Linked DNA regions of Notamacropus eugenii. The protein of the gene in region 3 interacts with the protein of the main gene of each other region in a biochemical or structural test. Links are inferred from orthologs where the notes say so. Each region holds a gene or a part of one and is shown on either strand. Other genes may lie near its edges. The genes, in order: SNAP23, STXBP5, STX1A and SLC6A1.

What was found.
Region 1: the proteins of STX1A (region 3) and SNAP23 form a complex in vitro, tested with the Homo sapiens proteins (3 studies listed by BioGRID). The link is inferred for Notamacropus eugenii from reciprocal best matches to the Homo sapiens genes STX1A and SNAP23.
Region 2: the proteins of STX1A (region 3) and STXBP5 form a complex in vitro, tested with the Homo sapiens proteins (2 studies listed by BioGRID). The link is inferred for Notamacropus eugenii from reciprocal best matches to the Homo sapiens genes STX1A and STXBP5.
Region 4: the proteins of STX1A (region 3) and SLC6A1 form a complex in vitro, tested with the Homo sapiens proteins (2 studies listed by BioGRID). The link is inferred for Notamacropus eugenii from reciprocal best matches to the Homo sapiens genes STX1A and SLC6A1.

The regions. Positions count from the first base shown.
Region 1 is NC_092878.1:28,891,735-28,898,965, reverse strand, and holds the start of SNAP23 (synaptosomal-associated protein 23), read right to left. Parts: upstream 3,013-7,231; 5' UTR 2,821-3,012; intron 1-2,820. UniProt on the Homo sapiens protein: Essential component of the high affinity receptor for the general membrane fusion machinery and an important regulator of transport vesicle docking and fusion.
Region 2 is NC_092873.1:238,975,121-238,982,626, reverse strand, and holds the start of STXBP5 (syntaxin-binding protein 5), read right to left. Parts: upstream 3,015-7,506; 5' UTR 2,619-3,014; coding exon 2,457-2,618; intron 49-2,456; coding exon 1-48. UniProt on the Homo sapiens protein: Plays a regulatory role in calcium-dependent exocytosis and neurotransmitter release. Inhibits membrane fusion between transport vesicles and the plasma membrane.
Region 3 is NC_092873.1:50,187,703-50,195,021, reverse strand, and holds the start of STX1A (syntaxin-1A), read right to left. Parts: upstream 3,007-7,319; 5' UTR 2,959-3,006; coding exon 2,929-2,958; intron 1-2,928. UniProt on the Homo sapiens protein: Plays an essential role in hormone and neurotransmitter calcium-dependent exocytosis and endocytosis.
Region 4 is NC_092874.1:434,075,373-434,083,386, forward strand, and holds the start of SLC6A1 (sodium- and chloride-dependent GABA transporter 1), read right to left. Parts: upstream 3,019-8,014; 5' UTR 2,788-3,018; intron 1-2,787. UniProt on the Homo sapiens protein: Mediates transport of gamma-aminobutyric acid (GABA) together with sodium and chloride and is responsible for the reuptake of GABA from the synapse. The translocation of GABA, however, may also occur in the reverse direction leading to the release of GABA.

The DNA.
Region 1 (7,231 bases), on a different chromosome or scaffold from region 3:
CTCTCTCCGTGCATTTAGCCAGGTCATTTTCTATTCCTAGTATACAAGCCTTCCTCACCTCCACTTTTTAGAATTTTCTTGCTTACAGGTACAATTCAGGTATAGCCTTCCTTGTTCTTCTGGCTTAAAAGTAGTTTTCTATTCCTCCTCCAGTAATGCTAGAGTATTTTGCCTGCATCTTTCTTTGCCCTCAATAATTCTCTACCTTGAACTATATTTATCTGCATTTATGTCATATCCTATTCCCCTCAGAATGTAAACTTCTTGAGGGCAGGAACAGTGTCATTTTCATCTCTGTATTTCTGTGTTTTGCACAAAGCAGATGCTTGATAAATGCTGTTGAAGTGTCAATATTTTTTTAAATCAACTTTATGATGAAAACTTTTTGGAAACTATTTTATACAAGTTACAGCCTTCTTAAGCAAAGGACATGAAAAATAATTTAATCTTTATGATTCAGGATTAAATTATAAATTATTATATTCTACAATAATAAATACTGATGTCCTCAGTACCACTGAAGTATATAGGGCTATTTAACCCTATACTAAATGGCCCCATATACTATTACATGCCTTATCTTGCATGTTCCAGTATACTTTTCCTTCCAATACTATCCCTTAGGTATGAACTCCACCTTTCCCCCTCTAATTTACTATGACCTGGGAAACCAAATAGCAATCCATTAAAACTGTGCTGAACAGAATAGCTACTTCTGTTGATGTTTGGTCCTTAAGGGAGTCAATTTGAGCACATGGGATCTGTCACATCATTTTGGCTGCCCAGGCCTTTTTTTTCTTCTTGGTTAAATAGGAGGGGTGTTATTGTTCTTAAGGTAACTGAAATGAAAGAAACAAGAACATTAATATGCTGTAACAGTAGTTATCTACAAAAAGCGGAAAGTCCCACAAATGTTTATGTAAAGCTGCATACCAGGGTCAGGGAAGAAGAAGTGGTACAATATTATCAGGAAGTAAAATAACAAAAGTCACTTTGAATCCAAAAGTACACTGACAAGAATGACAATCATAGGAACCAGCAAGTGACCACATGTCGCAAACTGCTTAAAGAGAACTACTAGAGCTGATAGATGCATACGCTACAGGGCTGTAATTTATGATTACTTTAATTATGTTCTGGTGCTTGGAAAAGGGGCAACTACATTTGTCCTAATATTTGCTGCTTTTTTATATAAAATAAGGATTATAAAGCATATGTAATCCCATATGCTTTGACAGTACTTAATGATGAAGAATATTTCATAAACACTGTACACCTTAGGCAAATTTTTGGCTTAGGTAGTGACAGGACTAGAGAAAATTTTAAATTAATATATTAGGTCATAAAATATAATTGCAATACTAAGACTTCCCAGGAAACTATGGATAATGATACCCAGATTTAAAATTCATTAGGCATTTTCTAGTATGGACCAGAATGGTACATCCTATTTTTACTCCTAGTGTGACAGTAACCACGTCATACTGGATGGGCCTCACCATAGAGGCTAAAGATCAGTTTTAGATACACAGAATGATGTCTCTGTTAATACTTGCAATACCTTATTTCTAAAAAGCTCAAAGTGCATTCATCACATGGCTCCCCACTGCTCAGTAACTACATCCTTCCCCTCCCCCAGTCATTAATTACATCTTGATGAGATGAGGGGCAGAGGGAAAACGACTACTTCTCTATGGACCAACTTGTGTTTTCTTCCAACTTTCTCTAAGAACCACCCTTCCCTTTCCAACTTGTCTATTTAAAAGTTACAGTAACTAATGGCCTTGAAGGGAAGGACCAAGGAGCAAGAAGAGGGAAGGGAAGCTTTAAACATCCTCATCCCACCCCCCATCCCTGAATTTAGGAAGCTATCTCCCACTCTTCTCTCTTTGTAAGATGGCATCAAAGCTATCAGTCTTCTAAGGAGCATTCTCGGGTTTCTCTGGACTCTCTCTTAATCTGAACAAGTGTGGTTCTTAATATCGATATATACTATTGCCTATGAGTGTATCTTCACACTGTTTGTGTATACACACACATACCTACATATACACACACTTAAGAAGGGGGCACACTACTACTGCCCATGAGTGTATCTTCACACTGTGTGTACACACATACACATACCTACATATACACACACTTAACTACATATACACACATACACTCACTGCCTGTGAGTGTATCTTCACACTGTGTGTGTATACACACACATACCCATACACACACACTTAAGAAGGGGGCACACTACTACTGCCCATGAGTGTATCTTCACACTGTGTGTGTATACACACACATACCCATACACACACACTTAAGAAGGGGGCACACTACTACTGCCCATGAGTGTATCTTCACACTGTGTGTGTATACACACACATACCCATACACACACACTTACACACGCTCGCTGCCCAGGAGCGCATCCTTGCACTACAAGGTGGGCACACACATATCCCATCCCCATGCCCACCACACACACACCCCCTTTCCTGCTTCCCTTACCCACTAGAGGGGTTCCCACCGTCACACCCTCCTCCCAGGCCAGGCACAGACGAGGACGGACAGACGCTCCCCGCCCCCGCTACTTCCCTGCCCTCCCCCTCCCCCCCGTGTCTTCCCCTCCCCCCGTATCCTCCCCCTCCCCCCGTGTCTTTCTTCCCCCTCCCCCTCCGCGCCGGCGCCTCTCCCCCTTCATTTTTCTTCGCTCAGCCGCCTCTCCACCATTTTTTTGGAAGTCACGCGCAGCTCCTCCTCGCCCAGAACCTCGCCCGGCAGCTGCCCCGGTCCCGGCCCGGCCCCGGGGCCCTCACAACTCACCCTGAGACTTCGCAGTCCTTCCCCTACCAATCCTCCACAACCCGGACTTGGCCAAAGATAAGAACCAGGGCTGGGTCTCTCTGACGCATGCGTACTCAGAAATCCCCACATTCCCCTACCCTGGCCCCAGCAGGCGCCTGCGCATTTCGCCCAATACGGCCCAGAACACGCCCCTGGAGCTACAAGCCAATCAGCGTACAGGAGAGGGAGGTTTAACCCTTCTTGCTTCGCAGTTGGCCAATTAGTTCTGGGTTGTTTTGGAAGAGGTGGGATTCCCATGCTACTGTAGCTCTGTTTCTTTTTTCCCCAGCGTTTGGTGAAACCAGATGTAGGTGCAACTGAGATCTAAAAAACCACAAATCTAGGTTTGGTAACAATTCGACAAGTATTTAATTAGCGAGCCAGACATTGTGCTGAAGAGATTGAAGATAAAACAAAAACAACCCAGTCCCTGAAGTGAAGGAAATTATGTTGCAACTTGTATACAGAATTGTAAAGTGAGGTGACCTTGAGCTAGGTGACCTCTGAGGACTCTTCTAGCTGCGAATCAATGCTCTTAGGATTCTAAGTAAACACATTACGTATTTTACAATATGATAAATAATGTTGTCATATATATGCTGTGATACAGCATAATATATAACAAGTGATCCGATTAATAATGTAATATGCAAAGCAATTTCCACAATTTCCCACCCCACCCTGCTACATATTTATCACTTCATGCTTGGACTATTGTTTTCTGGTTATCTCCCTGCCTCTAGTCTCTTTGGTGTTACTCCTTACCAAGACTAACCTCTCCACTTGTTCAAGTGATCCCATTCCATCCTATCTCCTTCAACAGACTGCCCCCTTTCTCATCCTCACTCTCTCACTTATTTTCAATTTCATCTTTACTGGCTCTTTGCCTAGAAACATGCCCACGTGTCCCTCACCCAGAAAAATAAACAAAACAAAACTCTCACCTGGGGAATAGTATACATACCCAGTGGGGTATAAAAAATCTATCTTATCCTACAGAGTAGTAGAAGGGAAGGAGATAAGACAAGAAGAGGGGGTGCTGATAGAAGGGAGATTGGATTGAGGGAGGCAGTGGTCAGAAGTAAAACACTTGAGGGTGGGTAAAGTGAAAGGAGAGAGAGAGAGGGTAAATGGGGGAAACGAATAGAAGGAAATACATAGTAATCATAACAGTAAAAAAATTTTTAGAGCAATTTTCTCTGATAAAGAACTCATTTCTCAAATACATAGAGAACTAAGTCAAGTTTATAAGAATACAAAGCATTCCCCAAATGATAAATGGCCAAAGGATATGAACAGGCAGTTTTCAGAGGAAGAAAACAAAGCTATTGGTATTCATATAAAAAAAATGCTCTAAATCACTATTGATTAGAAAAATGTAAATTAAAACAAATCTAAACTAATATGACAGAAAAGGAAAATGACACATTAGATGGGGATGTGGGAAAATTGGGACACTAAATAGCTCTGTTGGTGGAGTTGTGAACTGATCCAACCATTCTGGAGAGTAATTTGGAACTAGGAACAAAGGACTATGAAACAGCATACCTTTGACTCAGCAATACCATTATTAGGTCTGTTTCCCAAAGATATTTTTAAAAAAAATTGCAGTATTTATCTGTTGTTTTTTTTTTTTAAATCAACTTTTATTCTCCTCCTGGCTGTGATTCTAACTTAATAGACTTAAAAACCATGGCCTGACTAAAATCTCACCTTGAATCCTTTCTCAGCAACTGAGGCTTCCTCACCCTAGAATATCCCTCTACCATACCAGTATCTTTCTAATATGTAGCTCCTCCTGCTTCCTCCATTTTGGGGAAGGGCCTAGATCAACTAACCTTCAGTTCCCTCCCAGATGTGCTTCCTAATTTCTAAACTGATTGTGTGTGTGTGTGTGTGCGCGCGTGCACACGCACATAAAAAATATATATGTAATTTTTTGACTAGGTTGAAAAAGCTGTTCTTTTCTTCATTTCTTACCCAGCTTTAATCATTGAATGGACATTGCCTCAGTAAAACTGAGACCTGGGAAAGACTTTAGCTCAAAAAGGCAATTTTTTTGGTGACTTTGCACAGCCCTCTCTCACTTAAATCCAATTCACTTGCAAGTCATGACATCACCTTCCTTAGGTGTGTCTTCTTCAAGAACCAAGGGCAAACAATGAACAAAAATCCTGCCTCTCACAGGAAGCCTTCCCTAAACCCCCTCTTTAATTCCAATGCTTTCCCTCCATCGATTTCTTCCTATTTATCTGTTCATAGCTTGCTTTGTATATATTTGTTTGCATGTCTCCTACATTATATTGTAAGCTCCTTTAGAGTAGTCACTGTCTTTTGCTGCTTTTTGCATCCCCAGAATTTAGCACAGTGCCTGGAACATAGTAGGTGCTTAATAAATGTTTATTGAATTAAATTGGCTCTAATCCATCCTCCACTGAAATGTCAAAGTGATTTTCCTAATGAAGTGCAAGTCTGACCATTTCAAACACAACACCCACTCAAAATAAGCAAATAAACTCCAGTGACTCTCCATTACCTCAAAATATAAAATTTCATGTTTTCCTTTAAGAGGCCTTCATAATATGATCTCTTTCTCCCTTTGTAATGTTCTTACACTTTCCCTTTCATATACTATATGATCCAGCAATACTGACCACTGTTCATCAAACAGGACTCTCCATCTCTGGATTGTGCCTTTTCAGTAGCTGACTTCCCTATCTTTGTAATATTCTCCCTTCTTATCTTCTCCTACTTTCCTTCAAATCTCAGCTCAAATTTCACCCACTGAAGAGGTCTTTCTAGGTGGGCCTTTTGCCTACATACACACTTCCCTCTGAGATTATTTTCCAATCATTCTCTGTGTGTATATGTATATATAATCTATTTATTTTATCTTTTATGTAGTTGTTTTAATGTTATTTCCCCATTAGATGGTCAGCTCCTTGAAGGCAGGTACCAGTATTTGCCTTTCTTTGTATCCCCAGATCTTAACACAGTGCTTCAGAAATGCTTGTTGACTGATTTGCCACAGGAACACTAAGGAGAAAAATCTTATCATTTCAAAATTATAAATATGAATACAATTGCTTTAATATTTGAGAATACACTGTGGGCTAGATGCTGTGTTTATATATTTACACTTTATATCCTATAGGATGGGATCTACATTTTAAGTCACATATACATGTAAGTTAATTGTAGGATTCTTTTCCTACAGGTGACCTTTTAGAAATTTTTAAAAATCTTTTTTAGTTTTTTCTTTACTTTGAGAATAGTCTGAGAATTAAAATTTTCTTATTAGAATCAAATATATAAATATATTTGTAACCTAAGGGCAAAGTAATAGTGACTAAAAATAGAAACTACAACCATCCCTGAGAAAGAGAACTCATTAAATTTTAACATTATTTAATTTGGCAAGCGTCTTGATGCCTACAAAGCAAGGCCACCCTTGAAACTAGAAAATCCTAGATTCAGATCCTGCTTCTTGACACATACTAGTCTCGGGCAAGTAACTCAGCCTCTAAATTACTGCCCAGGGACTTCTCTAAGACTATAAATTGCTTCATTTCCTAATTCACCGTTCACCAGGTCCAACCAGTTTTTGAACCAAAACCCCCTCAACAACATACTTAAGATGTGGTCATCCAGACTTTGTTTGTGTGCCTCAATGTGAGCCAATGATATAACCCTTTCACCTTTTGGTGAAATATCTAATTATTAGGAAATTTTTCCTCATTTCAAGTCTAAATTTGACTCTTTGCAATTCACCTATTGCCTCTAGTTCTTCCCTGTGGCATCAAGTGGAACAAATATAATCTCTCTTCTATATAACAGCCTTCTAGATATCCTTGAAATGAATAACTATCAGGTCATTTCTAAATGTTATCTTCTTCTGACTAATAGTTTCCCAGACCTTTCATACACTGGAGGCTCTTCTCCATACTTATGGCCTCATATTAATTTATCTTTCCTAAAATATGGTGCCCAATTTCAAATGCTGTCTGACCAAGACAGAGTACAATGGAACTACCATATCCCCAGTCTTGAAGACTAATGCCTCTCAATGAATCCCCTGAGATTACATTGGCCTTCCAAAGCAAGATTTCAAAAAAACACTCTTGTCATCCAAATTTGACTGTATTTTACACTACACCTTAAGCCCTAGGTTTTTGTTAGTTTGTTTTGGGGAAAGAATTTAAGAGGTCATGAAAGATTTCAGAATTTAGCAGAATGATATCCCCTGATAAGGTCCCACAAAAATAGAGAAAAAGATCTCTAGTTTGTACAGAGAAAAGTCATTCTGTGGCCCTCCTGTTTTGATGAGAGTTTAATGTTAAGTTGGGCTCCACATTCTGTAAAACGGACAAAGAAGGTGTTTATCCTCTGA
Region 2 (7,506 bases), about 190 Mb from region 3:
ATCAAAAGCCAAGGCTGAGGGTTGGTAGGGGAATCCATGGCGAACAGTCTTGGGATGAGGAAGTGATGAAATCAACAGCAATAAAGGACAAACAAAAAAAGGGGGAGAAGGAGGATTCATTATCACATATTAGAAGAGGATATGAAATCTATTTAAAAAAAACAAAACACAAACATTACTGTCCAGAACACCTATTCATGTTCAGAAACAGAAGTTGTTCAAGACTGGCAAAAAAGCAACAATATGTGAAATTGTGATTTCAGTGTAATGCCTCAAATGTTGTCCCCTTGAACATCTTCCCTTTGGATATCTTCTTTTTGGAGTGGCAAAAAAAAATGCCTGTAATTTAAATCATGGGGCAACTTTTGCACATATAAAAGAAGACTGAAAACTTCTAATCAAATACTCAACTGCAAATGAAGACATTAAAGTTATTAAAGAGACATTGAAGAACAAGTTCCATCTTTCTTAGTCAAATCGAGTTCTATAATAGAAAAAAGAGACACTTTTTCTCTCTCCCAGGAGCCTGTTTTCTAAAAAGCACTACTACTCTATTTTAGGAAAATGTTTAAAATGTATTATCTCAAACCACTCCTTCAACAATGATGTTTCTATGTGATTATTAGTTTGCAACCTTAAACCCTAACAGGAGAATATTTATTTTAAACAAATTAATGGGTGAGACTAATGTGGAAAAGGCTTATTCATTTCCAACATTAAGTATCTCCCTTAGGCAAAGCACTGTGCTAGGTGCTAAGAATACAAAACACAGAAGAACACAATTCCCTCACTCCACCATCTAAATAGCTAATGGGGGGTGGGGAGACTTAGAGACAAATAAATATGATACTTAGAATGTGTTTAAGGCAAAGGATGAATCTACAGAAAAGACAAGAGAAGTATCCGCAGGAGTTTTTAAGGGGAAAGCCTGTTTTTCCAAAGCAAAATGAAAGTCATCATCAACAATTTTTCTCCTTAGACTATCTAGGTACTGGCTACCAAAATCTATGTACAAGTCTATTTTAAAGCTGTATTTAACTTTCTTCCATATTGTTTTAAAACTGCGTACTCTACTATATACAGAATGCCTTTTCTGGAGAAATAGTGTCAGGCATACTTGGGCTAAAACAAAGCAATCACCTTTTACTTCAACATTTTTCAAGGGAATGGCAGAACTCAACACAAGTACATCTAATTATGATGTTGCTTTTATTAAGTCCATAATAAAGACAGAGTAATAACGCTAAAGGTATATTTGTACATCCTCAAAATAGTCTGTCTATATGAAGGCATGAGTTTATTTCAGACGACAAAAAATGTCAATATGCAAATTAATTTGCATGTCTCATTGAACAAGGAACTAATCTGCTGCATCATCCTTCCTGAACTTAAGGACTTTGGCGTGTGATTATGACACCACTACAGGAAAGAGTCCCAATATTAACTTTTTACACCCACACCACCAAAAAGGATCCATAAATTCAAGTTAGAAGTCATCCGCAGAACATTTTAAAAAAGAAAATGCAAGGCACAGGTGAATGCCAAATTTGCTAATTAAGTCTGGCTGTATGTTAACCAATCTTCATTAGAAGTTATTTCCAAAGGAGGCCACAAGGGTTTTATGGTTATGCATTATGCTTTAAATACAAACACACATACACATAAAACCATTCCAGGTTATTGCAACTGCTGCTTCCAAATACCAACTTAATGGTCAGCATTATAAATGAGGCAATCTTGGAATCACTGTTGCATTAAGGAAGGGTCGGGAGAGTTCTCGGTAAAGAAGTTGGGGGAAATAGTCTCCTAAAAGGCTTTTAATCACAAAGTGTTTTCTAGGGTCCAATAGATATGGGAGGGAGGAGGGAGAGGGAATCCTCTAAGCGGGAGAGGAGGGGGGTGATTAGATAGAGAGGTGATTAGACAGAAAGATGAATAGAGAGATGGATAGATTAGTAGAGAAAAACAAATTTAGATATGGATAAGTAGACAGATGAACAATTAGATAAATTAAATACAGAGATAGATAGGTGGATAGACGGTTAGATAGAAAGATGCATAGATACATAAAGATACATAGACAGATACATAAAGACATGAGGGGGGGAGTGGTGGAAGAGATTGAGAGAATAAGGGAGTGACAGAAAGCGAGAGAGAAAAGGAAAGTGGGTGCAAGAGAGACCCAGAGAGAACGAGAGAAAAAGAAAAAGAGGGCTAGATCGAGAAAGAGAGAGTTAGTGCTAGAGAGGAGAGAGGAAGAGGAGAGAGGGCGAGGAGAAGAGAAGAAGAGGAGAGGGGGGAGGGGAGGGAAAGACAGACAAGGAAACTCTGGAGCGCGGCCGGAGAAGGGAGTCCTCGGGCTCCCCGCTGCGCAAGGCCAGACCCGTGCCCAAGCCTCCCCTTGGGGGCACTGCCCACACGCCGGGCCGGCCGGGCCGCCCCCTCGGGTCAGTCACCTTGCACAGCTGGAAGTGCTCGGACTGGAGCGTCTCCTGCACTTCGTTCTCCCGACTTCCAGGCGGCTGCTGCTGCTGCTGCTGCTGCTGCGAGGACGACGACAACGACGACGAGCCGGCTGTCAGGCCGTCCAGCACCTTCCTGATGTTGAATTTCTTCATGGTCTCCCCGGGCGCTCCCTTTTAAAGCCCAGCCTTCCTCCTCCTCCTCCTCCTCCTCCTCCTCCAGCGGCGGCCGCGGCCTCCCCCCGGCGCCTCCGCGGCCCCCAGCTAGAGGCTCAGAAGGCGGGCAGCGAGCGTCGTCCCCCGCGGACGTGGAGCGGGGGCGGGGGGAGGGCGAGCCCCGGCGGCAGTTTTGACAGAATGGTCAGAGACCAGAAAACGGTGGGAGAAGAGAAGGAGGGTATGCGGGGGACGCAGAGGAAGGAAGGAGGGGGTGAAACCCCGCGACGACGAGAAACCCCCGAGAGGGCAGCCCGGCCGCCGCGCCCAGACAGACACCCAGACGGACAGACGGAGGCCCGGCTCGCCCCTTCCAGCGGCTCCCCGACTGCTGTGTGTCGGCTGCCGGCGCCGCAGCCGCCGCCGTCTCCTTCTCCTCCCCTCCGCTGGGAGGCAGCAGCGGCAACGGCAGCAGCAGCGCCCGGGGACAGCCGAGCCCGCCCGACCCGCCCGCAGGCTCGCCCCACCAGCCCCTTCACCTAGTGGCGGAGCGGCTCCCGACAGCGCCGCCGCCCGTCGCCATCCCCTCGGCCGCCGCGGCCGCTGCCGGAGCAGCCGCCGCCGAGTCCATGACGCTTCCCCCGCCTGCCCGCCTCAGCTCCCCTCCGCCGGCCCCCCGCGGCTCGCGCTCAGCAGCCGACTCCGGCAGCCGCCGCAGCTGCGCCGCCCCCTCCTCGCCCCGCCCTCCGGGCCCCCGCCCCCGCAGCGTCGCCGGCAGTTCCTTCTCCCTCTCGGAGGGTGCGGGTGTCAGGGTCAGAGTCTGCCTCCCACCCGGGGCCGCTCGCAGCGGCGCTGCCTTTCCGACCCGACCCGACTCGAATCGAATCGCCAATCCTGACACTTCCTTCCTCCTCACTGCTCGCTCAACTGGCTGGCCCCACAGACGGGCAAGCACCTCCCGTCCCCGCCTGGCCGCCTTCCTGCTTCTCCTAGCCCCGGCCAGCTACGCGACTCTCCGCACTGGGCACCAACGCCCGGAGGAGGAGCAGTCACCACAGCTAACTGCGGCCGCCGCGGCAGCAGCTGCTGGGCGGCCGCGGAGCGGAGCTGCCGAGCATGCGCAGCCCCCACCGCCTGCCCCGCCCCCTCAGAGAGCTCCCTTACCTTATCTTGGGCCAAACCCCAGACAATGGCCAGAGTTCTCCTTCCTCCAGTCCCCAGCGGCCCTCTCCTGCGTCCCGCAGCACCAAGCCTTTGACTAGGGGGGGTCTTCGCTGAGAGAGGCTTTATTTTATATTTGTGTCTGTTAGATGCAGACAGCTTGTCGGATTTTCCTAATTCTATTTTGGGGCTCCACTTTAATGTTGCGTAAAGAAGGGACAACGGAATCTCCCCAAAGGAGAAAGAATAGCTATCTCCTTGTGTCTTCGTACGTGTAGAATGCAGGGATGGCCTGGAAAGGACACTTCAAATTGAAGTAGCCCACCCCCGCTAATCTTCCAGGACCCCAAGCAAGGAGAGCTGTGGTTCCCAAGAAGGGCTTCCATCCCCAAGCTTGTAGAATCCTAGGCCTAGACTCTGGAAAGGATCGTAGGGGCCATCTAGCTCAACCCCTTACTTTTGCGAGTGAAAAAACTGAGTGCCCGGGAAGCCAAAGTACAGAGGGGTGCAGGTAGGACTGAGGATTCCGCAGTAAATCGGCTTCTCATCTTGCTTGTTCCGGTCACTATACAGTGGTAAACCAGTTCAGTAATTCCTTTCAGACGTTTGTTTATTAAGAAGACGGCAGACTCCCACTCCAATAGTTTTTTTTTTTTAAATAGAATCCTTAAAATCCATCCTGAACTTCTTTTGGTAGCCATGCTGGGTTGTGGAGCTCTTCCTTTTAACTTTTTCTTTTACATTTCCTTCTCATCCATCTCCATTCTGTATGGTGAGGTAGGGAGGGGAGTATGGATGAAGGTGGAGGAAGAAGGTATGCGGTTCTGATTGAAACCGTTGCCCCATTTCCCACTATCTCAGTGGTCCCTCAGCCCTTCAGAAACACAAGCCACGAGAATTTTAATTTAGACGGTTGTGGATTAATTGGGGCTGTTATCTCCGTTATTACATTCAATAGAAAGGTGGAAGGAAGGACAAATATTGAATTAGAAAGGAGAACGAAGGGGAGATTTACAGAAATGCATGTCCCTCTGCTCCTGGCATTCAGAATTATTACTGCCACTACTGATCATAAGGTGATCAAATGTAGTCAAGTATATGAAGATTTGGGGGTTATTTGGAGTTTTGGTAGGGGAAAGTGGAGGCTGTGAGCCAAAAGTGCTTAGAATATCTAAAAGACAACTAAGGAAAGGAATAGAAACAAATTACCTGCCCCTTCTGCCCTATAACAATTTTTTTCCTCTCACTAACTCGGAATAACTGTTCAGGATTCATTGACATGGCCTGCTGGATTTGGCCCCAGAGATTTCTGGGAAATGTAGTTCATTCATATTGGGGGGGGGCAAGATATTCTGTAAGTAGGATCTAGGGAATTGTTTTGTTTCTTAATGTTTATTGAACATGTACAGTATTCCTAAAATACAGATAACAATTATGTGGACAGACTAGCCACTGGACCTATGATTCCATAGAGAATTCGAGAATGAAGAAGGTATATCTGTATCTTCTCTGCAAGAGAATTAACTAAAGCAGAGGTGGCAAACATGGGTCAATGGAAACCAAATTAAAACGTAATTCAGAAATATATAATCAAAATACAATAAAACGGAGATAGCAGTACATTTCAAAACCAAGTCAATGTTTAGCCCCTAAAGATCCTTTTGTACAAATTACTATTTGTTTCTATTTGAGTTTCACACTACTGACCTAAAGTATTGAGAAGAAAAGTGACCTGCAGAAGTCACACAGCTAGGATGTGACAAGGGGTGAGACTTGGTTCCATCTATTCCTGACTCCTACTATGCTATGATGCTTCTGTTAAACAGCATGTTTTCCATATGTTGTCTCAATTGTGCCCATGATGTCCAAAAGTCAAGAATAGTCAAGAAAGAGAACAGAATCGAGCCAGAAGGGACCTTGGAGCTCATTGACTATGTCTACAAATTCTAAAATTGTTTATAAATGTTAGCTACTATTAATTCATTTTTACAAATGAAACTAGGGTATAAGAGAATTAAGTGACCTGTCCAACGTCACAAAATTAAGAAAGTAGCAGAGGCAGATTTAAATGTAACTCCTACCTCCAAATCCAGTTCTCTCTCCACTATATCATTATGCTTAGGTGGAAAGGGGCACAGGATGGACAATATTTTGGGGTGAAGGAATAGAGGAAGGAAGGGATCAGTCCAGACTATGGAGCCCTTCATATAGCTAAGGAAGCAGCATAAAAAAAAAGGAGAAATGGAAAGGTATAAAAGGCAAACTGTCTGCTTCATAATTCCCTAGGGTTAGCTCAAGTAAGAGAAAATAATGAATTTAATAGATTATTCCTCCCACCTCAAATAAAATGTTAATATATCCCATATTCATTTTTGTCACTTGACATACTTAAGTTACCACCTCACTTTTATTAAGGATTACAGAGCTGAAAGAATTCTCAGGATGTGAACATTTTATAATACAACGCCATTTCTCCAATCAGAATATACCTAATCTAACCAAGAGAGGTTTAACTTATCTTATAGTTTTCCAATGGAGATTTCAAAATCCTTATCTCTATATCAATATAGTAGCTTTGAATGTTAAGAAATATATGTGTGCGTGTGTGCATGTCTGTGTGTGTGTGTGTGTGTATCTCCACATCAAAGTCACTGAGTTGGGATCCAAATCAAACAGGAGTGGGCTGGATTTATATTTGGGAAATTGAATAATGCTTTCAGTGATCTCAGGCTTCTCAAAGCTGCAAAGACTTATCTTTTTAATACAGGTATTCTCTTGGTAGCAACATGAAACAGTGGATAAAACCTTGGACTTGGAGTTAGGAAGAGAGATGTAGGGTTCAAGTACCACTCCCAACATTTTTAATACTATCTATGAGACCAATGGCAAGTTATTTAATTTCTCTGAGCCTCAGGCAACTGTTTAAAACTATAAATTATACTCAGGATATAAGGTTGTGAATCAAAGAATACTACTGTCTCAAAACTATCACTTTCTAGTCACCCAAAGATCACTGGTAAGATATGGGGGGGGGGGCAGGAATGGTATACAAAAGCTGTAGCATTTTACTAGTAATTTATTCTGAGTGGCATGAGAGAAGATCAAGGACATACATGACCACAAAAAGTAGTGTTGTAAGATTGAGAGGTGACAAGCAGCATAACTACAATATCCATGAAATATCTTTTTTAAAATAAGACCCCCCCCAAAATACTTTTGTATAAAACTCTTTAAAATGAGCCCTGAAATACCCCAGGGTAAATAATGTACTCTTTTTTTTTTCTGCCCACCCATTCCCTCTTGCCTGTTCTTTATGTTACTTCTATGCTCATTTTTATACTAATCTTTTCAGACCTGAAAATTCTAATATCACTTATGAGTTTGTGTAGTTTTTTTGTCTTTACCCCTACATATGTGAATTTTAAAATTATGACCCATCAGTCATATTTAAATAGTCAACTCCATGAAAGTTGAAATACTTTGACATTCTTGTGAGATTTGCTATTCTTGCATCTCTGTAAGTCACTGTAAATTGTGCGCATATATCCTATATTTGTTATCTGCCTGACTTTTTTTGGACTGTTAAAATTAAAAAATTAAAATGATTATGCAAATATGAAAAAATAAGACCTCCAGGGAGTTGAGTTGATTCACTCTGGAATATTACAGGAATCATATAGAAGACAGGGATGAGTTGCCATCTGTACCAGTGGAAGAAGCATACATG
Region 3 (7,319 bases):
AGGATTACACAGCAAGAAAATAAAAACATGGACAAGTGAGAACTTCCTGTGGCTCCTGATCAGACTCCCCCTCTTCCTCTTCATCAGCCAAATGGGAATCCTAAATTGTTTCTTCAGCAGCAGTGTTAGGCTGCACGAAAAGATCCACACTCTTGCCCAATCTCACCTATGATCAACGGGGAGGGTTGTGAGATTTGGGGGGCAGCAGGTAGGTCTGTGGCCAGTGTTCGGGGGTCAATCTATTCCCACGGTTAATGGTGAGTCTGTGGCCCAGACTAGAGTTTATTCTATAGATTGGGTTCACAGGGCAGATAAGGGGGCTTTTTTTCTCTCGCTTTACCTTCAGGATAGGACTCGAACAGGGCCAAGTCTCATTCTGTGAGAAAGTGGTCACAAAGCCAATGTCAAGATGAAGGATAAAGAGCTCCAGGGCCCACTTGTCCCTAAATCCTTGTCTTTCAGAGTTGAGAATACAATTTTCTAGCCATGAGCTTCCTTCTGGCCTGAATTGGAATTAAGCAGAGAGACACTTGGAGGTGGAGTGGAGGAGGGGGAGACTCCCAAATCAGCACAAATAAAATCTCTTTGAACACTGAAACCTGAATATCTCAAACTTGGTTCTTGATTCCCAGCCTCTGGAAGAAAGGGGATGGGGGCCATAGAGCTAGAAACCAATTATGGAGCACAAGGAAGAGTTCCCCACAGGGCACATGCCCCAGAGGAAACTGATTTGTTAGCTTTCTCCTGGGATGGTGGTAGGGGAGGAACAGCTGAGGCTAACCCCACAATAATGCCTTGTAGGCTGGTTTCCTGGACATGAGACTACTCTTAATCAAGGGGGAAGGCTTCCTGTCCTAATTATGACTTCAAGGGCTTGGAGATCAGGAGTAGCATATCCACATGATGGTTCCCATAGCATATTTCAGCACAGAGTTCTAACTGCCAGAAACAGCTGAACAGAGAAGTTTCATTATTCTGGATTTGGTTGAAAGGGTTGGAGCTGAAGTTGGATTTCTTGCTAGAATTCCCTCCCCTGAGGGCTAGTCCCAAATTCAGAGAAGCCCTGGCTCCGTTTGGCCCCCGTTTTCAGGCAGTCATTTAACACAATGTGAACAGACATTCCTTTCCACATTTCTTTGTACCCTCAGTATATCCATTTCTCTCCTCTCTCTCTCTCTCTCTCTCTCTTTCACTCTCTCTCCCTCTCTTTCTCTCAGAAAAAAGAGGGATGGTTACTAATATTCAAAGGAATTAACAAAGAGGCCAAGAAGCTGGGGGTGGGGAAAACATGGGGTACAATTCACCACCTCTGGACAACAGGGAGTTGGTGGCATGGGGTGGTAACTCCTCAAATGTGGTTTAGGTGAGTACCTCCCTCTACTCCAGAGCTTTGATCATTTAGGGTTACTCTGAAGGCAGAAGCTCTGACTTAGTCATCCATCCTTTTATTTTCCTCAGTACCTGGTCTAGGGCCTGGCACACAGTAGGCATGCCATAAATATTTGCCAAATTGAATTAAGGAGTTGAAGCTAAAGACAACAGGCTTACACTCTGGAAAATTTCCCAATTTACAAAGCTTTCTTTTCCATCCTCTCCTGGTTTAGAGGGAGCAGAATGCCTTGGAGTAGGGCAAGATGCCACTACCAGGACTTGGATAAATGTACTGGGAAACCTTGGAGCCCCAGAAACACAGCTTGAACATCAGATTGAATTTGGAAAAAATATAAATGAATTTGTCCAGGGATGTTGAAATAAGGCTAATGTTGGCATGAAAGGGCTTAGTGTGTGGAAACTGGGGAGGAAAGATTGGTCAGGTAGTCCTCCCTGTCCCCTATTAATGACAGCAGTGAGGGAATTTCCCCTCCCTCTTCCCTCCATCCCCTCAGGATGGGGCCTGCTCAAGAGGAGCCTCAAGACCCCAGGCTTTACTTCAGAAGAAAAGAGGTCGTGGAGACTGGAGACAATTAGGGGGTGGTGGGGTGGATAGGCCATATATAAATGCTAAATCAGAAGTAGGGGGAGGTCCTAGGAGCCCCCGCACAAAGTGGTGGGAGGTGGCCAAGGGGGAAGACGGGAAGGTACGTGTCCCCCTTTACTGCATGGGGGCGAGAATCCAATTCACAGAAAGCAAGCAGAGGATGTGAGGAGGAGGGAACCAGCAGCCACAAGTGTCTCAGCCCAAGTGAAATCCAAGCCTAAGAGAACAGAAGCAAGGTGTCTGCAAGGAGGGGGCCTGCAGCCACCCGTGGTTTTTTTCTCTTTTTTTCTAATGACAAAAGACACCAAAGCCGATGCGAGAGCCCAGGTGGCCCCCGCCTCCTCGATCCAGGGACAGTCTGTTTCTCCAGACAGCCCCATTTCCGGACCTCGCCCTGGGTTGGGCGCATAAATCTTGTCCGCCCTCCCCCAGGCCCGAAGAGCTCAGTCTGGTCCTTCCTTCTCCCACTCCCGCCCCCTTCCCCCCAGGCTCAGAAGGCAGCACCTCGGACAGCTCCGGGAGCTGAACTCGACAGGGAAGTGAGGGAGGAGGAAGGCTGGAGGATTTCAGCGGAGACACCACCTCTTTAGGGAGTCTAAAAAGACCAGGTATCATGGGAGCCTAGGAGCTAAAGCCCTAGGTATCACCCCCAGAATCCTCCCTCCCCAAAATAAAAGGGAAAAAGAAAAGTTTCTCTGGGCCTCTAGGGAGGTTGAGGCAGTCACTCCCAGTCCCAGGGCAAATGGGGAGCGAGGCCCAAAGTCTCGGGAAGGTCAGCAGGGGATGGGGGTTGGCCTGGGACTCCCCCACCCCTCCGGGGAAAGGTAGGGGGGCGCGCCCGCCCTCAGAGCTCCCGCCCTGGGCGTGTCCCGGGGCGAAGCCCTGGCGTCTGGGCTTCTCTGCTCCGCCCCGTCTGGGCGCGGAGATCCGGGCGCGGGGAGCGATCTTACCGTGCGGAGCTCCTGGGTTCGGTCCTTCATGCTCCCGGGAGTGGAGGCGGCAGCTTGGGCAGTAAGGGCGGCAGCAGTGGAGGCAGCGGTGGCGGCAGCTCCAGCCGTCTGGGCTTCGTTCGCATGCGCGACGGCGGCCCTGCAGATGCGCAGCACCTCCCCCGGCCCCGCCCCGGCCCCCGGGACCCTCTCTCGGGGACCCAGGCCCCGAGCACCCCGCCCTGGCCCCGCCCCTCCCGGGAGCAGCCCAGAGCTCGGGCCCGCCCACGCCCCCTCCTACAGCGGCTCCGCTCCTAGGTAGGAATCCCGGCCCCCGTGCTCTCTTCGCTGGGCCCCTGCCCGGGGGGCTTCAGCCGTGGTCCTACCCTGTTATTTCACCGGTCGCGACCCCGCCCCATCTCCTGTTCAGTCTACCTTGTCCAGTCTCTCTGCCCAGCCCCCTTCCATTGGGACTATCTCGCCCTGCCCATCCTCACCCCGGGGACCTCTGCTGTACTTTCCCCCCTGTTTTAATTCTTCCCCTCCCATGGACCCCACCTCTTCCCTCCTTTCCTACTACCTGGCCCCAGTCTTGATGCGGTACACCCTCCTCTTTTTATTGGGCAGGGTCCTGGACTGATGAGATGTTCAGAGGGCTACTTTCTCATAGAATGACAACTGGGGCTCACAGTGATCTGGAATCTACATGACGTTGAGCAAATTACTTGGACTTCTCCCAGCCTCAGTTTCCCTACCTGTAAAATGAAGTGGTCTTCTCAATGAACTCTACAGGTCCTTTCTGAGGCTTACATTTTATCATTCCTCCCTCCGAAACAAGGTTTCCTTCCCCAGGCTACTCTGGTCCTGGATTTGCAACGTGTCTAGAGGCCCTATCCCAGTGGTGAAGCTGCCTCAGGTGCTGGGAACATTTTGGAACTGCCAGGGAGTCATTGTGGGCTCTGACCATCAGTCAGTTAATATTTCTAGAAAAATGTACTTTACTTAAGGCACTGTGGAACAAATGTGATTTTAAAAGCACTTTCCCCGTCCCTACTCAACCTCCTTAAGGGATGGAGTCAAGACCATCTATTTTCAGGGCGTGCTCCTCATTCAAGTCTTACCCTCCCCAGTGGGTTGGGCTCTAGTCTTTTAGCTTTGTTCTCTGGTCCTAGTCTTTGCAGACCCAATGACATTTATTCCCTGTCCAAGTCTCCTCCCTCGCCCTGGGCAGACAAGGTGTTGCTTTGGCTCCCTGCCTCTTCCTGTATCCCTACATGTGTCTGGTCCTGGCTTTCCTCCCAGAGGCCAAGGCTGATGGCAGCTTTGGGTCTGTGCCCACTCTTGCTTGTCCTCCCTCTAAACCCTGGCATGAGGCACACAAAGATTTCTCATCATTTGTTTAAGTAGAGATGCACATTAAAAACAATTCAGCACGTCATTCTGTCTTCTCCACCCTACCCTCCCAGCTCCCTGTTGAGCATTGTTAGGGTACACAGAGAGAAGGGGGCGCAAAGTACCTGTGTGAAATCTCCTGGTCAGAGGAAGACATGGCCCCTACTCAGGAGATCCTCCCATTTAATGGGAGTAGACAATAATGACAGACAGACTTTAGAACTAGACAGATTAAAATTCTATACAAAATGTGTGTACAATATTGGAGGGAACAGAAATGTAGGTTTTTCATGATGCCCTTGTGGACTAGATGTGGCCTAACTGATAGGAAATTCAGGTGGATTTATTGAGTGGCCAGTCCAAAGAGCGGTGGATAGAGAGTTGAGTCTGGAGGCATGAAGACCTGGATGGGTTCAAATTCTTCCTCAGACACGTACCAGCTGTGTAGTTATTGTAGTGGTTCAGTCATTTCATGACACCATCAGGGTTTTGTTTTTTCTCTTGGCAAAGATCCTGGAGAGGTCTGCCATTTCCATTCTCCAGCTCATTTTACAGAAGAAGAAACTGAGTCAGACAGGGTTAAGTGACTTACCCAGGGTCACATAGTTAGTCAGTGTCTGAGGCCAAATTTGAACTCATCTTCCTGACTTCAATCTCAGCACTCTATCCACTGTGCTACCTGGCTGCCCAGTTTAACTCTGGGCAAGTCATCTAACATTTCAGCCTCAATTTCCTCATCTGTAAAAATGGATATAATAAGAACAGCTTCCTCACAGCACTGTTATGAGGATCAAGTGAGATAGCACATGTAATATGTTCTGCAAATCCTAATATACCTCCTAAATGTGAGCTATTATTAACTCTTATTAATTCAATTAATGCATATTATGATTGATCTCATATTGGAGGAAAGTCTCTAGTGGAGTACCTCTAGGATCCCTGCTGGATTTTCTGCTATTCAACATTTTCACTTGAATAAAGGCACAGATGGTATGTTAATCAGACTTAGGGATAACACCCAATTGGGAGGGGTAGCTAGCAAAATGAATGACAGAGCCTGGCCTCAAAAAGGTCTGAAGAGACTAGACCACTGGCTGGAATTGGAGATGAAATCAATAGGGATAAATGAAAAAAAAAATCTATTTGGGTTCAAAAGATCAGTTTTCCAGGTTCAACATGGAGGAGGCTAGTCTAGTCTAGTCTAGTCTAGTCTAGATGGCTGTTTATTTGAAAAGGTCCTGAGGGTTTTAGTAGGTAGCCTGCTTAATATTAGTTAACAGGGTCATAGGATAGCCATACAAACTAATACTATCTTAATTTTGGGGAAACGATGCATTAGGAGAGGCCTAATGTCCAGAGAGGTGAGAGTTCCATTGTGCTCCTACCTTGGCAAGTGCTGTCTGGAGTGTTGTGTTCAGTTCTAGGTGCTAGATTTGAGGAAGGATCTTGAAAGCAGGAACTGGCCAGAGGAGGGTGTCCAGCATGGCCACATGAAGGGACTGGGACAGTCTGTAAAAGAGAAGTTTTAGGGGAGGTGTGATAACGGCTTCCCATCATTTGAAGGGCTACCATGTGTAGGCCTTGTTTTGTTCTGTCCCAGAAGGCGGAACCAGGAACAATGGACGGAGATGGCATAAAGGCAGATTTGGGTTTGATGTTATGAAGAACTTCCTAAAAATGAGAACTACTTTATCCCAAAGTGGAATAGACTGCCTGGGGAAGGTTTGAGGAAGGGAGAGGTTAGTGCTGGGAGGTAGAGATGAAAACTGGAGATTTTCAAGGAAGTTGGCTGTCAGTTTGTCCTGTATTTTGGTGGAGGGGACTCCTTTTCAGATGTGACTTGGACTGGCTGTCCTCCAAAGTGGCCTGTTTGTGACAAGTACAATTAGGAAGACTTCCTGGAGGAGGTGGTCTCTGTTTCTTGGAGGAGGTAGAAACAGGGGCAGTGAGTTCTCCCCAGAACTTCTCTTTGATGATGTCAAAACCCTCTGTGAGTGTCTGCCCTTCAGGCATGATCTTTGACTCCCTCTGTCTATGTGTTTCCCAGTCTGTACTCTGTTCACCAACATCTTTTGAGAAAGGAACAAAACTGCTTCTAAAGGTTATCCAGTGCTGAGAGAGAAACTCCCTGTGGTGTGTTATTTGCAGCAATGTGGGGGAAGCACCTGGCAAGCTGGCCACACTCACTTTTGGGCCCTTGTAGGGAACCTGGAGCTGAGCCCAGGGATTCCCGAGCCTGGAAAAGGACAGTAGTTCTGCACCCCTAAGCACTAATGCCTACCCTTTCCCAGTCCCTGGTACTCATACCCCACCACTTCTCCCCTCTGCCCTGAAGCTGAAGCTATTTTAAACTTTGTTCCATCAAGCAACTGAGGGCACAGGCAAATCTGCATCCATCTTTTCACAATTCTGGAGTTAGCCCAATTACTCTGGGGTATTGTTATCTACAGGATACTTATAATTGCCATAAATTCAAGGTATCTAAAGTTGAATGTGTCATCTCTTTTCATTCCCACTGCATTCAAACAAAAGCAAAACTTAAGTCTTCTGTTTTTTCCACTTGACCTGACCAGACCCCAGACTAGACCATGCCATCCAGATACATCATCCTTCACCTCAGTTTTCTGCCTTTTGCTTTTGGCACTTAATTAAATCAACATGATCACTGCTTCTGGAAATGGCATGTCAATCCACACATCCTCTCTGTCACTCTTTATGTCAAAGCTTCCTTTCCTGGTCACCAATGCCTTCTGTGGGTTGTTTCCTTCTACTAGAATATGTTTTTTAAAGACAAGGACTGTCTCATTTTTATCATTGTATTTCTGTTCTTTAGCCTGGCACATGATAAGTGCTTAATAAATGCTCATTCACTCACTTGAGTTCCTTGTCTATCAATGGTATCACTCTCCTAGTCGTGGAATCATGCCATCTCAAAGCTGGAAGGAGTCATGTATTTCAGTTTGGATTGAACAAGAATCCTTTCTACCATATACCTGTCAAGTGGTCATCTGGACTTGGTC
Region 4 (8,014 bases), on a different chromosome or scaffold from region 3:
TAAACGACGAAGAAGAACCCTTCTTTATGCAATGCCAAATAGATAGGCTGACCTTTGTTCTAGACTAGATTTTATGTTGAACTTGAGACATTTATGAGATCTTTATAAACAGCATCCAAGAATGTTGCTTTAATGCATAAGAATGGACTTCAGGATTAGAAGAGACCTTGGAAATCATCTGGTGCAAGTTCCTTATTATAAAGGGATGGTTCAGAGATGAATACTGACTTGTTCAAGGTCACACCTCTAGTGAGTAGCAGATCAGGTCGTCCAGTTCCTATTCTAGTGCTCTTTCCACTCCTAACAAAACCCTCTGAAAGCACATTCCCTTCATTTTACACCATGAAATTGCTGATATAGGATACCATCAGAGGTAGTTATCAATAGTAATCTGATTTTAGACTCATTTTGAGGAGATATTTGGAGAATTGAGTTTTGTTACAAACATCAATAAGAGACTTACAGTCTCATACATCTTATTGTCAGACAATGACTGAGCACTCACTGTGCCTGGCATTGCATGGTATGTTTCCCTGGAGGTAGAGTTGGAGGACCCCCAGGGGAATTGCTATTTACATTACCTTGATACATTTATTGTTGGATTCTCCTGTTTCCCTTTGTAGACTAGGTTTTTTTTTCCATTGCCCCCTATCAGAATCTAGCAAGCACTCCCTGATGCTTGGGAAACAGCATTTTTTTTCATCCAGATTTGGGGAAGTCCTTGCATCTTGCTAACTATCTGTCCAGCAGGGAGCAGGCAAAGCTCTCAAAATTGTACGATCTACTCCTCTGGGGTGGGGAGAAGTTCTTTTCTCTCCCCTACTTCTTGGGGCTGCTTAGCAGGGTCTTATTTCAATTCACCTGCGAAGCCGCAGCCTGGGCTGCTGTTCCTCTCAGAAACAAGTTGCCCTGTATTCTTTGTCCACACCACTGCCACTGGACCTGCCGTTTGTCCTCGCGCCCACCATGAATTCAGCTCTTGGCTCACAACCTCCCTTTGTTTTCCTCTCACGGTTTTTACATGACTATCGCCTCAACCATTTTTCCGTGTTTGTTACTAGAAATGCCAATACACATGCCCCAATCTTCGACTTCTAAGGTCAAGGTCATCTTACTGCCCCAAATCTGGATAATGCAGGATGGTCAGATTCACATCTGCTTAGGGAAAAACGGGATGGAAATTGACCATTTTCTTGGCTCCCATGGCCTGAGGCAGCAAAGGTTCCCTTCCCCCCCCCGCCCCCTACATTGCCCAGAATAAGAAAATTGTTCTTGTTCTTTGTAGACTCCCCAAGGGATCATTTACCTAAAATTCTCGGCTGACCTCTTTTGTGGGTCTGAGGTCCCCCCTTTCCCCTGTGGCCTTGGGGGGGGGGCGTTCTCCGTCAAATGCTTGAACATTTATTTTTGAAAAAGTTAGCAACAAAAGAAAATGTTTTCAATACATAATTAGTATATACATTTGGATCTCTTCTCTCCCCCAACCTCCTTCATTTCGAAAAAGCAGTGACAGACCAAGAGGGAGATTCAGAACAAGAACCTGCGATTCAGACGTTCACTTACGAAGATTTGCTGCTCTGGAATTCTTCAAGACAAAAGACTCGGAGCTTTCTGGTTTGGAAGCTTAACCAGAGAACAAGACTAGTAAAAGGTTGATCTCCTTATGGGGCAGGACTTTGTAGCGGAGGAAAATAAACCAAAAAACCAGTTTTCATTTCTAATGAAAATGTCGCCAGACCAAAAGCCAGTCCTTGCAATTCCCCTTTGGGCTTGACAGGGGTGCAAAGACAGAGAGGGGGGCGGGAGGTGGTGGCGGCGGAGGCAGCGGTCATACAAGAAAAAGGTTTCTGAGGAAAAATATGCTTTTGGACTTTGTACATCTCCTTCCTTGACCCAAACCTAGAACTCATTTGAAATACCTCAAGACTACTCGTGTGATACAAGTCAGACGCAACTGTTACACACGGAGATGACCCAACAGTAGCCCACAGGTAATACAACAGCTGTACTCCAGAGCATCTGTAACACAAAGCTAACCCATCGGAAAGACCTTCGAACCTCCGTTTGCAAGGACCCCAGAGAGAAAGCTGGGCTTCTTTTGCTTAGCCAACCCGAGTAGGGGTTCAGAGTCTTAGATTCCAGACGACCTCCAGGCTACTAGTCCCCGGAAGAATAACTGGGATGGGGGGGAGGGGGTGTGCTGTAAGGGAAGGGTCGGATCACGGGGATAGTGGGAGGGCAGATTTGGGAGGGAAGGCTTTGGAGGAAATCGTACAGAGCCCAGCTCCAACAGAGTTGGGACTTGGGTTGGGAAGGGGAAGCAGTTAGCCCCCAAATCCTTGGTAGGGTGGAAAATGGAATCAGAAGCCTCGAAGAGATCCAGTCTCTCTCTTCCAGTTGCCGGGGGATCCGGGGGGTGTTGCACGACATTCTTCCCAAATTCTCTAGGAAGGACCCCTGTTCAATTTAGAAGGTTGGTGGGGGAAAATAGGCAGCGGGGCAGACCTTCCCAGTTCCAGTCTCCCAACGCAGTCTCCCTAAACCCCTCGAAGCTTTTCCCTGTTTCTTACCCCTAATTCTTGCACTTCTTCCCCCCCACCCTTGGAGGACACCCCCCCTCCCCCCAATCGAGTTCTTTGGAATAGGAAAACGTAAGGTTCAGCTCCAGAGCGAGGCTGCCCACACTCTCCCGGCAGGACAGAGCTGAGTCCCGGGCAGTCACGCCTACGTTCCCCCGTACCCCCTCCTGGAGCATAGAACCCCAAACTAGACAGCCAGCCTCCCTACCTGCGGCCGGGACCAGGGCCGGGGCCGGGATGGGACCTGGCCGGGCCGGGACTGCGTTCCTGGGACAGCTGGAGGAGGCGCATGGGCCAATTAGGGCTTCGTTCTGTCCGCTCCGCTCTGCTGAGCTGCGCCGCGCTGCCCAGAGCCAGGCAGCACCGTTCTAATCATTCGCTCCTGCTTCACTCTTCTCCTCACTCTTTCGCTCGGTCGCTCTCTCTCTCTCTCTCTCTCTCTCTCTCCCAAGCCGCGCAGCTAGCAGGAGGAGGGGCGCTAGAGCTGAGGCTCACTGCCCAGAGAGGCCAACGGGGGGCGGGGCTGGGCCGTAGTCGGCCAACCCCTTTTCTCCTTTCTCTCCTCCCCTCCCCTCCAGCGCAGTGTTCCTCAGTAGAGCGCTCCCTTCCTCTCTCCCTCTCGGCCTCCCTCCTTTCCTTCCTCCCCTTTTCTTCCTTTTCTCTTCTCTTCTCCCTCCCCCCCCATCTCTCTCTTTCTCTCCATATCTTTCTCTCTCTCTGTCTTCCTTCTTCCTCTCTCTCCTCGCTGTCTCCATCCGCTCGTCCCTCTGTTCTCCCATCGTTCTTTCTCTTTCTTTGCTGCTTTTCTATCGACTTCTCTCTCTCTTCCCATTTCTTTTTCCCACACTTCTCTTTTTTATCCCTTTTCCTTTCTCTTTCTTCTATAATTTTCTCCCTCTTCCTTTTTCATTTCTCCCGATCCTTTTCTCTCTCGTTTCTTCGCTGTTCCCCCCGTTCCCTTTCCCTCCTCTTCCTCTTACACCTGTAATTTTCCTCTCTCTTCATCTCTACTCCCCTTCCATTTTCTATCCGATATTCCCTTTTCGATTCGCTATTCTCCTCTACCTTTCTCCTTTTTCTTCCTTTTCGCTTCCCTCCCACCATTACCTCTTCTATCTTTCTTTCCCCCTCCTCTTCCCTCCCGTTTCTGTGTTTCCCTCTTTCTTATTCCCTCTCCTCTTCCCTCTTACTCAAATCTTTGGCCTCCCTTACCTTCACCTTGCCTAGGGATCTCGCCAGGAGATGTCCAAATACCTGGGCTCTTTATTTCCCTGAAGCTGGTGTCAGGGGCTTTATATTTGAATAGCCAAAAATACCTGGAGGTGGAAGCAAGGGGTAGTGGTGGTGAGAGAAATGAAGAGAAGCATAGTCTAACGTGTATCGTGTATCGGAGTTGGGGAGAGGGAGTCCTGCGGGACCCAGAGAGGTAGCCTTTCTCTCTTGTCTCCAGAGGTAGAAATAATAAAGTGCTAGGACTCGAGGAAGTGGTGCATGTACACGTATTTGTGTCAGACAAATGTCTCAGGCTGGGGGGCTCCTCTTGTTCCAGGGACCCCAATGATTCTGTTCAAGGTCTCAGATTCCCATCCCTTCTAAAGACCACTCTCCAAGACAGATGTTTATTTATTTATTTATTGAGAGAGAGAGAGAGAGAGAGAGAGAGAGAGAGAGAGAGAGAGAGAGAGAGAGAGAGAGAGCTAACTTGTACTCTCCTGGAATGCTTTAACAGCAGCACTGCCTAGAGGCAAGCACCTGAATGAGTCTCTTGGTCCCTTCTAGCCTGCAAATTGTACAGACTGAAGATTGTTCTCCTAGGTTTCCCATCACCCTGAACCAAATGGACAGGACTAAGGCAGAGAGAAGTAATTTCACAGAACAGGGTCAATGTAATGGGCACCCCAAAAAGCCATTTTGCATTACAAATTACAGATGAGTCAGCAGAAGGGGCTGCTTTGTGAGCATTCTGCTTTTGGAGCCCTTGATGCTTAATCTACCCAAAGCAAATCTGTGTCTCATCTTCACCACGTTCTGTTTATTGCCCAGTCCCACCAACTTTTTAGTAGTGCTAGACTCTTGGAAGAATAACCCACCCCTCTTATTTCTTGACCACTTTCTCATTCTACCACTCCCCCTTCAAGTGTTCTTCTGAAGCACTAAGCAAGGTTGGAAAACTTGGCCTCCTATGTTTGTATCTGTCCATCAGATACTTTGACCTTGTGCTACAACACAGGTGTCACCACAAAATAAACACAGAGGTACTTTGGAGAACAGGCTTTTCTGGCAATAAAATATGCACTTTTATTAAAAGTATTAATTTTTATGCATCTCATTTTGAGTACCTCCTCCCCCCACTCCCCAAGCATCTGTCTTCCTCACCTATTGCTGGGTCTGACTAAAGGATCCCAATAACTTTTAAATTTCCCAGATCAACAGTCTCCCATATGAGCTCCAAGGGATCTTGGAGATTGTCTGATCCAACCACCTCCTACCATGCCTTACATAGGAAGCTTCCAAGAAAGAGGCAGTAAACTGGCTCAATACCATACAAGAAACCAAGCAAACAACAAACATTTCTTTGGAGATTACTGTGTGCCAGGCAGTATCTTAGGCTCTGGGGATACAAACAATCCCTATCCTCAAGGAGCTTACGTCTTACGGGTTGGGGAGGTCATAGATATAGCAGACACTCAGATAATTAAATACCAAGCAATACAAAATAAATAGAAAATAACTAGGGAGGGCAACCAGGAAAGGACTCATTCCAAAGGTGCCATTTGAGCTGAACCTTGACAAGGATTAGGTCTTGCAAGAGGAAGAGGTGAGGATGGAGAATATTCCAGGTATGGGGGAGAACCTGTGCAAATGGAGAGGAAGAGGGAGATAGTGCATCATATATAGAGTATAGATCAACAAGATCATTTCAACTTTATTTTTTAATTGGCAGCTAGGTGGTGCAGTAGATATAACATTGATCCTGGAGTCAAGAAGACCCGAGTTTAAATCCAGCCTCAGACACTTACTAGTTGTGTGACCTTGGCCAAGTCAAGTCATCTGCTATGTGTCTCAGTTTCCTCAACTGGAGTTTGGGACAGTAATAGCACTCATCTTTCAAAGTTGTTGTGAGGATCAAATGAGATAATATTTACCAAATGCTTAGAACATAGTAAGAACTATATAAATGTTAGCTAGTATTGATTACATTTTTTCAGTGAACAAACATCCTTTCCCCCAAAGAAAAACAACTCTTCTAGCAAATACTTGTATTGACTTATGATGGGTGATGTGTATTATTACCCTGGAAAGAAAGACTAGGCCAGATTGTGAAGGGCTTTAAATGTCCAACAGAAGAGTTTTATATTTTAACAGAGGCAGTTGGGAGCCATCGAAGTTTCCAGAGGAGGAGAATGACATGTTGGCTTCTGCTTTAGCAATATCAGTTGCCCCTGCCCCACACTGCACAATGTTAGAGGCCACCGTGTCCCTTGATCCCTCCTCTTACTCCTAACACTCTGATAATTGTTTCTTCTGATCTAACAAATTCCCAGGCACTATCCCTCTAATCCTTACAATTCAGACTCACTAGCTTTTAAGGCAAACAAAGTAAAACAAAGCAAAAAACTTCTTTTCCTCTGTGACCTCTACCCAAGCCCTCATTCCTATTTAGTAGCCCCAACATTCTCAGTCCCTATTCTCTTTTGCTTTCCCCTTCTACTATGACTTCTGAGTCATCTTCTTTATAATTAAGAAACTTTCCTTCATCTTGAATCTCCTTCTTTTCCACTATTTCCATCCAGTGTTCACAAAAACCTGACTTTCTCGAGAAGACCTTACCCCTTGCCAATCACTTGGGCATTTCTCTCATGCCAGTAGAAGCTGGCTTCCCTCACTCTAGTGGACCACTAGAGTATTCTACTTCTACAACCTCCTTGATACCATCTCTCAGCAATTTCTCCTTCATTCGGGTTCATTCTGGTTCATTCTATCCATCAGGAAACTCTGCTTAGACTATTGTTACTGTCACCTACTAGCTTCCACCTCCCTCTTTCTCTTCTTGTATTATACTTGTCTTACAGTCTTCTCCCAAACTGAACCCTCATCTTTGTCCATTTAGTTATTGATTCTGATGACCCTTCAAACACTCTGACCTCCCAGGTCTCTAACCTTCTCCTCTGTGTTCAGCCTCCCGTGGGAGTGGTCACAATCTTGAACCCTGAAATTCCCTTCTCTGAGTCTAAACTGCTGCACTTCTTTCTCTCTCTCTGAAACTTCTTCATCATTCCTATGACTTTAGGTTCTTGGGGTTCTGGTCCATCAACATTGGTCTGGTTTCATTTTCCTCCCTTTTGTAGTCTTGACGGCATTATTAACCAATTCAGTTTTACTTTACATATATGTCCCTTGTTTTTTCACCCTGTCATTCATGCCTTACAACTTTTCAACTTCATATTGGGTCTTTTAACTCCATCTACCTTCTCCACTCCTACTCCCATGATGCTAAACACTGCTGGAGGAAATCATACAACTGCAACACATTCATTCTAAAACCATGTTCGCTTAATACCACTGGATCTTTATTGCTGTGTGGCAAATACTTTAGCTGAATCTGATCGATTCTTTATCAAACACCTCTCAGGGATTCTGCCAAATCTTTTTTTCTTATAGACCCAATGCCAGCCCCATTCCTATCATTTAGTAAAGGATCTAATCTTCTTTAGTGAAAAAAAATTGAACTCAACTATGGCAAATTCTCTCATTTCCCTTAACCATTCAGTCAGTCAGGTACCAAGCATTTAGTGAGCACTTTCTGTATATCTGTCACTGCACCATAATGTCTCTATCTTCACCAACCTATGGCTTGCTTGAGCCTCAGGGAAGAAGGTGACCCTGTCTTTGCCAAGACTAACCCCTATACTTGTAGTCTGGATTCTATCCCTTTCTGTCTCCTCTAGGCTATTGTTCTATTGATAATCTCCCCCATTCTACCTTATCTTCAAATGATCCCTATCTTCTAGCTCTTTCCTAATTGCCTTCTGGCTCTGTTTCCTTTTCCTTTCCTTTCCTTTCCTTTCCTTTCCTTTCCTTTCCTTTCCTTTCCTTTCCTTTCCTTTCCTTTCCTTTCCTTTCCTTTCCTTTCCTTTCCTTCCTTTCCTTTCCTTCCCTTCCCTTCCCTTCCCTTCCCTTCCCTTCCCTTCCCTTCCTTCCCTTCCCTTCCCTTCCCTTCCCTTTCCTTTCCTTTCCTTTCCTTTCCTTTCCTTTCCTTTCCTTTCCTTTCCTTTCCTTTCCTTTCCTTTCCTTTCCTTTCCTTTCCTTTCCCTTTCCTTTCCTTTCCCTTTAAACCTACAGCACTCTGAAACTCGGACGCCAATGGGCCCCTGTCCAAGGGCTCTTCTGGACCCTCCTAGCTTTAGAGTGTTTATCAATAGTAACTGTTGCTG